Linked DNA regions of Cricetulus griseus. The protein of the gene in region 1 purifies or fractionates together with the protein of each later gene. This does not show direct contact. Links are inferred from orthologs where the notes say so. Each region holds a gene or a part of one and is shown in the gene's direction. Other genes may lie near its edges.

Region 1 (4,552 bases):
CTTTAGCCCCAGCACTCGGGAGGTAGAGACAGGTGGATCTCTGTGAGTTCAAGGCCAGCCTGGTCTACAGAGCGAGTCCCAGAACAGCCAGGGACTGTGATTATAATAGGATTCATGTCTATTTCATTACGATAAGACTGATAAGAATATTCTTGGGATCTCCTTCTCTACGGGGGTAGTAAGCTTCCCCATAGTAGGTTTCCCAAAGGAATGTTATTACTCTCACTTGCTGTTGTTTAGGAATTAATATTCTCAGGGTTGCTAAGCAAGCTATCATTCTATTTGATTTCCAACTTCCAAAATGTTCCTACCACTGCCTCGTTTCCCTTTTGCTTTGTTCTCACAGGTTTTTTCTCTTACAGTCTGAACAAAAGAAATGCTCTCCCCAAGCTCCTCAGTCCTACCCCAACTTTGACAAGAAGCCCCCTTTATTTTATTTTTCTCCTTTCTTTTCTCCCCTGCTTTCCTTCCTCTCCCATGCCTGTTTTGGGAGGGGGATTTGTTTTTGTTTGTTTTTTGCTGTTGTTGGTTTGTTTCTTCAAGATTTTGCATGTAGAAGCTGGGCTGACCTCCAACTCTCCGTCTTTTTGTGTCAGCTTGTAATTATGGGCATCTGCCTCCACTCTTGGCTCCGTTATTGCTTCTTTTGAGACGAGGGTCTCTTGCATTCCAGGCTTGGGCGGAACTCTATGTAGCCAAGGATGACTGCTTGGATACCAGGTGTATACCAGCATGATTGGTTTATACTGTGTGAGGGTATTGAACGCAAGGCGTCACACATGCTAAACAAGTCATCTGCCATGTGTCTGTGTGTTTGAGATTAGGGTCTCATGTATCCCAGGCTGGCCTCGAACTCACCATATGTATGAGGTTGATCCTGATTACTGATCCTCCTGTCTCCGCTTGACAAGCGCTGAGATTACAGGCATGCACTACCCCACTCAGCCCCTTAAGATAATTTCACTGAAGGACAAATTCCGGTTTTGACACAGATTATTTGATTGCCCTAAAGTAGTATGTGTGTATATATACTTGCATGCTTCTGTACGGCATGCTTCTGTATAGTAATTGTTTTTGCAAAAGGCATTACGTTACTTCCAAAGGTACCCCCCACCCCACCATCCGCCTCAATATTCTGCCCGATGGGGGCGCCATACATAGCAAAAAATCCATGACAAAGTGATCAGAAGCGCTATGCTGGGCAAGGGCAGAGACGCTCAAAAAGAACACAGCCATAGACCACTCCTCTCAGGAATAAAGAGCGAGGGGGCGGGGTTCAATCTCGTTGATGATTGGTTGTTACTCCTGGCCAATCATGATCAGAGATTGATTTCTCTCCCCCCCCACACACACCCACCCTAACAGCGATGATCCGCCTCCCTGGAGATTTTGACGCCACGTTTACAAATGAGGACAGGTTACGTAAGAGAGATGGACGGAGCAGCCAATGAGAGCTCCGGGCGCTAATGGGAGGGTGAAGCCGCTGCCAGGTTCGGGGCGGAAGGAGCGTCCCTAGCTAAGACGGAGCGGAAGATGGCGGCGGAAACGCTGCTGTCCAGTGTGTTGGGGTTGCTATCGCTCGGGCTCCTGCTACCCGCGCGGCTGACGGGGGCCGTCGGGAGCCTGAATCTGGAGGAGCTGAGCGAGATGCGTTATGGCATCCAGATCCTGCCGTTGCCTGTCATGGGAGGGCAGGTGAGGGCTGTGGGGGCGAGGGTCCTATGCAAGAAGAAGGGGCTCGCACACGGTGAAGGAGGAAGGGCAGGTGCGAGCCGGGCTCCGGAGACTAAGGGGGTGGAGAAGGGCAGCTGGTGCGCACACGGCACAGCTGGCAATCGCAGGCGGACCCATTCCCGGGGGACCTGGCACCGGCAGGGGTGGGGCTTCCCGCTGTGCACCTCGGGTCCCCGGGTCACGGTGAAAGCACCCAGACTCCGCCGGGTGGGGAAGTGAGAGCGCCCTTTTCCTCGGCTCGTCCGCCCGCCCGCCCTCCCGCCGCCCGGACAATGCAAGCTGGAGGACCTGTGGCTTCTGTCTTCGACTGGGCACTTACTTCCCCAGGGTCTGAAGAGGGATCTCGCTGTTCTTGATCCCAGCCTCTACCTCCCTGCCCCCCTTCCCGACCCTTCTTTCCCAGAGCCAAGCTTCAGACGTGGTGGTTGTGTCTTCGAAGTATAAACAGCGCTATGAGTGCCGCCTGCCAGCTGGAGCCATTCACTTCCAGCGGGAAAGGGAGGAAGAGGCACCCGCTTACCAAGGGCCTGGGATTCCTGAATTGTTGAGCCCAATGAGAGATGCTCCCTGTCTGTTGAAGGTGAAAGGACTGGGCGGTGGGTGGGATGTAGTCATGACAACTGAAGTGCTAGGGAAGGAGTGGGTCCTCGGGCGCGGGGTGTGTGTGTGAGTTCAGGGACCACTGGTGTACTAGATATATTTACAGACGATGTGTGGAGGTCAAAGACTCTTGCATCCACAGATCACCTTTGCTGAATGTGGGGAAGGGTTACTGATAGACGGAGGAGCAGGCGCTTACCCAGAAAGTCGCCAGCTGCCCCTGTTTGGTCTTAACTCAGGATTCCATTGTATTCGGGGGGAGTTCATTTAATGCTTGAACCTCTGGGAGTCTTCGTCTGAGAGCTTCAAGGATAGCACGATGTCTTATCTTTACGGTGGGCAGGGAGTCTATGATCCCAAGCTGGAGCACATGGCATGGCCCTGTCTCACCTGTCCCCCGACAAAAAAAAAAGAAAAAGAAAGAAAGAAAGAGGAAGGAAAGAAAGAAAGAAAGAGGAAAGAAAGAAAGAAAGAAAGAAAGAAAGAAAGAAAGAAAGAAAGAAAAAGGGACACATATGGAAAGTAGGCATATTTTAGATGTGTGTTTCCAACCATGAAAGAGACAGCTGTCCCTTCTCGCAGAGTCTGGACAACGAACGAGAAAACAGAGAGAGAGATGAGAACTAAATGGGAGTTTATATGTTTTGGAACCAGGAGACTGTTTTCAAAAAGAGGGATTTTCATTCCCCCTGATGGTTCGTTTTTTAATTGTCAGACCAAGGACTGGTGGACTTATGAATTCTGTTATGGACGCCATATCCAGCAGTACCATATGGAAGGTGATTCGTTCTTAGATTTTTTTTTCCCCAAGCTTTCACTGTCATGTGTGGAAGGGGACCGCCCTTCCCTTCCAGTCCCCTCCCTTCTAGATATCATAACGAGCGAGAATAATGTGCTTTCCTGTTGCTTCTCTTACAGACTCAGAGATCAAAGGTGACGTCCTCTACCTCGGCTACTATCAGTCAGCCTTCAACTGGGATGATGAAACAGCCAAGGTAACAGGAGTGTGGGGTCAGAATGGGTACAGGCCTAGCTGCGGACTGAGAGCTCAGGCAACAGGGGAGAGTCAAGAGTTAGCTGGTGTGAATCTCGGGGTTCGGTGCCTATCAAGACAAAGTCCCCTGGGATCGGGACTCCTGTGATGTCGGGGTCCCTGCCAGAGGCTGGGGTCATTCTTCTACCTTGCTTCTTTTTGTCACACCCTCTCTGTCCCTCCTGATGTTTTTTTCTCCAGGCCTCCAAGCAGCATCGGCTGAAACGCTACCATAGCCAGACTTACGGCAATGGGTCCAAGTGTGATCTCAACGGGAGGCCCCGAGAAGCGGAAGTCCGGGTAAGGAGAGCGGTCCCGAGTAACAGTCTACTTTCTCTGGGTGGAGGGCAGATCTAGTTCGCCACTAAATGCCATTGTCTGGATTTAATTCTGTGTTTCCCATGTGCTTCCCGGAGCGCTTCCAGCTATGTCTAATCTTTCCAGCATTACTTCTCACACTCACCTGAGCTATTATTAATGTTAGTGTCTCTGACTCCCCCATGCTCTGGATGGAGCACTGAGGCATTGGTCTTAACTTGTCTGGTGAAGCAGCAGCAAATAGGAAGCTCCTGCATGGGTAGAAGGCCTTGTATGGAGGAAAACAGATGTTAACACAAGAAATGAGTCTGAAGGAAGCCAGTAAGGCTGGGTTCTCAACCTGTGGGTCCCGAGACCCCTTTGTGGGACAAACAGCCCTTCTAGAGGGGTTGCATATCAGATACTTACATTACATAACAGTGGCACAATCATAGTTATGAAGTAGCAACGAAAAAATTTTATGGTTGGGGATCACCACAACAGGAGGCATTGAGTTAAACTGTAGCAGCGTTAGGGCGGTTATGAACTGTTGCTAACGAGGGAGTGTGAGAAGGAAAGAGGGCCGGTTCTCCCAAAGCCCAGTCATCCTAAGGATCTATTAAAACTCTTCAGGGCTGGGCATGGTGGTTCATGCAAGCCTGTAATCCCAGAACAAAAAACAAAAACCTCTCTTTGGTTGGAAGTTGGAGGCTGAGGTAGGAGCATTGTGATCTCAAGACTATCATGAAATTCATGGAGAATACTGTACTAAAAAACTAACAAAAGAAAACCCTGTTTTGCCTTGTGGTTGGGACTCTTTAATTCTCACCTTCATCTTGGTCGATAGCCTGCTAACCACTGGTCTCTACCACCTGGCTTATAGCTGAC
Region 2 (4,427 bases), on another chromosome or scaffold:
TTAAAGCAGAGGCAGTAACTTCTGCTCTTCCAGAACTGAGACAGGAGTGGTGTCAAGATGGCAGATGGGCTGCCAGAGGGGGAGCCAACACAGCCTGGGGCTGGAATCACAGGGTAGAATGGTGACAGTCCCTCTTTCAGGGAAAGCCACCAGGGACTGAGGTTCCTTGTGGGCACTGAGTAGGGACAGTCTGTGTGTTCCTTCTCCTCTATAGACTGATTTTTATCTTACATGTAGAAGTGTTCTGCCTGCATGTATGTAAGTACACTGTATGCGTGTCCAGTGACTGAGGAGGCCGGAAGAAGGCACCAGACACCCTGAAACTGGCTACAGGGACGTTGTAATCTGCCATATAGGTCCTAGGACTCGAACCCAGGTCCTCTGCTAGAGCACCAAGGGCTCTTTCCTGCTGAGCCATCTCTCCAGCCCGCTTGGGTTTCTTCACAGCCTTAGACTTCCCCGTGTGCCCATTCATCTCTTCTCCTGTGACAATCACCACACCTTCAACATGGTCTCTCTGGGGAACAGAGGTGACAGCTGCACCCGGATTCTGGAGCTCATGATTTCCCCACCTTCAAGCGACTGTTAGTCCAGATCACCCCCTGCTCCCCTTGTCATTACTGACAAGTCCATTTCTCACCCCAGGCCTTGGTTTCCTCTTTGTAAAATGGGGCTGGGGCTTGTGGTTCGAGGTCATTGCTGGTGGAACTTGAACTGATGAGAGTACTGGTCAGGCACCAGACCACTCCTTGTGTGTGACTTAGACCTGCTGTGTTATTTGCTGTTTGTTGACTTTGAATGTGTGTCAACATGTCCCTTACCAGGGGAGTGATCATCTCCCTACAGGACCCTGGGAGTTCACACATGGGAGGACTCAGGACAGCACTGGCAGATGGAAAAAAGTCTGATCCTCTGCTCTCGCTCCCTCACTTGGTTTTCACACATGCCTGTGAGGTGTGAGCCTGTGTGCGGAAGTGTGCTGTGCGCATGTGCATACGGGGGGCTCACATTGATGTTGGGTGGTTTCCTCAACCACTCTCCACTTTATTGAGCTCTCAGTGATCCAAGAGCTCAGAGCTTCTGGTTAACAAGCCGGCCAGCTAGCCTCAAGGATCCCATCTCTGCCCAGCCCTGTCCCCCACCCCCATGCTTGGATTACAGATGGCTACTCTGCCCACATTTTCCAAACTCCTATTCTCACCCTTACATAACAAGTGCTTTATCTACAGAAATGCCTCTAGTTTTCTTTTTAACAGTCTCTTGTCAATTATAGCAATTTGAAATAGTGCTTGATATAGGCTGGGCATGCAGCAGCCGTTAATAGGCTGTGGTTGCTTTTGTATTGTGCCAAATGTTAGCTGATGGGAGTCACCACAGCCTCGATTCCTTGCAACATGCATTTCTGTGTCTTGCAGAAGAATGATGTCCTCCATCTCAAGGGGGATCTTGCTGCTGGTAGGCCTGTGCTGCCTGGTCCCCAGCTTCCTGGCTGAGGATGCCCAGGAGACAGATGCCTCCCAGCAGGATCAGGAGCACCAAGCCTGCTGTAAGATCGCTTCAAATCTGGCAGACTTCGCCTTAAGCCTGTACCGGGAGCTGGTCCATGAGTCCAATACGACCAACATCTTCTTCTCCCCCGTGAGCATTGCTACAGCCTTCGCTATGCTTTCTCTGGGCACCAAGGGTGCCACTCACACCCAGATTCTAGAAGGCCTGGAGTTCAACCTCACACAAATAGCAGAGGGTGAGATCCACAAGGGCTTCCATCACGTCCTCCAGACCCTCAACAAGCCAGACAATGAGCTTCAGCTGACCACAGGCAATGGCCTGTTCATCCACGACAATCTGAAGCTGGTGGCGACGTTCCTGGAAGAGGCCAAGAACAATTACCACTCAGAAGCCTTCTCCCTCAATTTCACAGACTCGGAAGAGGCCAAGAAAGTGATCAATGCTTTTGTGGAGAAGGGAACCCAGGGAAAGATAGTTGACTTAGTGAAGGACCTTGACAAAGACACAGTTCTTGCCATGGTGAATTACATTTTCTTTAAAGGTAAGATGACATAACCAGCTCCAGCTGATTCTCATGGAGACACTCATCCATGGTTTCTGAGCTCTCACTCTGGGCTGTGTCACTCTGTCCCATCACATCCCTGACTCTCCAGTGGGTACACTCTGTCATATTTTAAATCATCAGTAAGTTTGGGAATTGTCAACCATCAAATCCACTGACCTCTTTGAAGGACTGACTGTCCTCGTGCTCACTGAAGACCCCGACGAAGGAGTCTCAGAACACGAGATTCTTCCCCAACCTCAGAACCAAGTGTATCTGGTGGTATGAAGAGAGCCCTGCTCCATGAAACGTATTTTGAGCAGCTCTTTTGCTGCACACCAGTATGAACTCTGGAAACATGGGCTTAAATTTTGCTACTGCTGTCTTGATGTTGGACAAGCCATTTTACATGTTTGGGGTACGGCTGTCCATATGGCCAGGGACAAAGCTAGCCAACTGCTGTGAGGTGATGAAAGAATTAGTAAATACAGTATACACAGGGACGGTTTGGATGTAAGCACTTGATCAACTCTCCTTGACCCTAGCCACAGCCTCCTGCCTGGAAGTGGTTAGGTCAGGATTCTATGCTAAGCACCTGTACCCCAGAGAAAACATCTGAGGAGGGTCTGGGAGTCAAAGTCAGGAGCTTCTCTGCCCTTCGTGGCTCCTTTGCCTCTAAGCAGAGTCTTATGGAGCAGAATATCAGGCCATGGTCAGCATAGCTCAAGTCCTGGCTCTTCTGTGACAAGGGCAGATGTTAACTCCTCCCCAACCTCTTCCTATCCAATAATAAGGCAGGGTTAGGGCTCCTGATTCCATGCTCCTTCTGAGGGCCATTATGGTGGATCCCTGAGGGCCTTGCCTACTCTGCCAGCATTGGTGATGGGTCCCCGAGACCCCTACCCACTCCAATGACCTTGATGGTGTTCTTACACTTGAAATGGCCATCTACACTGAACCCATAGATGTAGAAAGGGACTTGAGGTGTCCTGAGTGACAACTGAACTCACACTTACCAATGAGCATGCCACCCTGATAAGAAGCTAGCAAATAGAATTGCTGTCAAGATTTCCACTTATAACCCCAGGTCACCTTTCAGTAAGCATGTAACACATCTAACAGGTGAAATGCTTTCTAGACAATGGGGATGGTAGCTGTGAGCTTCTGTGATCTGTAAAGTGTGAGTCCTTTAGTCCCAAGTTACCCTCATCAAAGTCCCTGGGCATTTTGAAGTCTAGTAGTGGTCCCCTGTGAAAAGTCAAGGCCCTGGGTCACCACTTCCCTGGCTGAGCCCTCTTCCTACTTCCTACTTCCCATACACTGCAGGCAAGTGGAAGAAGCCCTTCAGGGCAGAGAACACTGAGGAAGCTGACTTCCACGTGGACCAGAGCACCACGGTGAAGGTGCCCATGATGAAGCGCCTGGGCATGTTTGATGTGCACCATTGCAGCACTCTGTCCAGCTGGGTGCTGCTGATGGATTACTTGGGCAACGCCACTGCCATCTTCATCCTGCCTGATGAAGGCAAGATGCAGCATCTGGAGCAAACTCTCAACAAGGAAATCATTTCCAAGTTCCTGGAGAACAGACACACAAGGTGACTCCCCAGACAGAGACCTTTCCCTGAGTGTCCAATCCTGACCCAAAAGTCACAAAGTGCTGCCAGAGGGTGGACTCTATCCCAGGGCCACAGTTTAAGTGCATAACCTTGAGCTAAAATAAACCTTCATCTCAGACAGTGCCAGGTAGAGTCTGGGGAGGGACAGAGCTCCTGGTGAGAGAGCCCAGGCCCTGCTTTGGAGGGACTCCCATCCCCAGAGGACATAGTATTTTCTAACCCACAGCCCAGGGCTGCAATGTCAGCAGCGCTAGCATACATCATGACTGAACTAAGAACCAAGACTGGTCTCAAACCCTGGCCACAGCTGATGGTAGAGATTGAGGTGAGAAGTTTATAGGAGAGCCCAGGATAGTCTGCATGGACAGCCCTAAACAGCAAGGGGCCAGCAATAGAGAACCCTGGGCAGGTTTGCAGAAGGCTCTGTTCGTCTGTCACTCCTCAGTGGGGCTCCAGGTCCCAGCAGTCCTAGGGTCTTCTCCCCAGGTCAGAGGACCTGCTCTGAGCCCAGGCTCTGCTGCCTGTAGGATAAGGAACCCTGTGAGCTTCTGGCAGGCACGAGGTTAGGTGTGGCTAGAGGTGGCTTCCCTGCTGCCCAGCCTGGCCTCTGCTTTGGCCATAAAAATGCAGAGAGCCATACAAGGCTGGGACCAGAATAGGTGACAGATCCCAAGGGCCACTAAGATCCTGTTGGGACCTCCTCTGGCCCTGTGAAAACCTAGAGCTGAGCCATCAGCCCTGGGAGTGTGGGGGAAATGT

What was found.
Region 2: the proteins of Os9 (region 1) and Serpina1 purify together in Homo sapiens (affinity purification with western blotting; 4 studies listed by BioGRID). This does not show direct contact. The link is inferred for Cricetulus griseus from reciprocal best matches to the Homo sapiens genes OS9 and SERPINA1.

Annotation. Positions count from the first base shown.
Region 1 is NW_023276806.1:130,592,665-130,597,216, forward strand, and holds the start of Os9 (protein OS-9), read left to right. Parts: upstream 1-1,500; 5' UTR 1,501-1,533; coding exon 1,534-1,765; intron 1,766-2,096; coding exon 2,097-2,314; intron 2,315-3,049; coding exon 3,050-3,113; intron 3,114-3,252; coding exon 3,253-3,329; intron 3,330-3,568; coding exon 3,569-3,667; intron 3,668-4,552. UniProt on the Homo sapiens protein: Lectin component of the HRD1 complex, which functions in endoplasmic reticulum (ER) quality control and ER-associated degradation (ERAD).
Region 2 is NC_048598.1:190,875,308-190,879,734, forward strand, and holds the start of Serpina1 (alpha-1-antitrypsin), read left to right. Parts: upstream 1-1,419; coding exon 1,420-2,050; intron 2,051-3,376; coding exon 3,377-3,647; intron 3,648-4,427.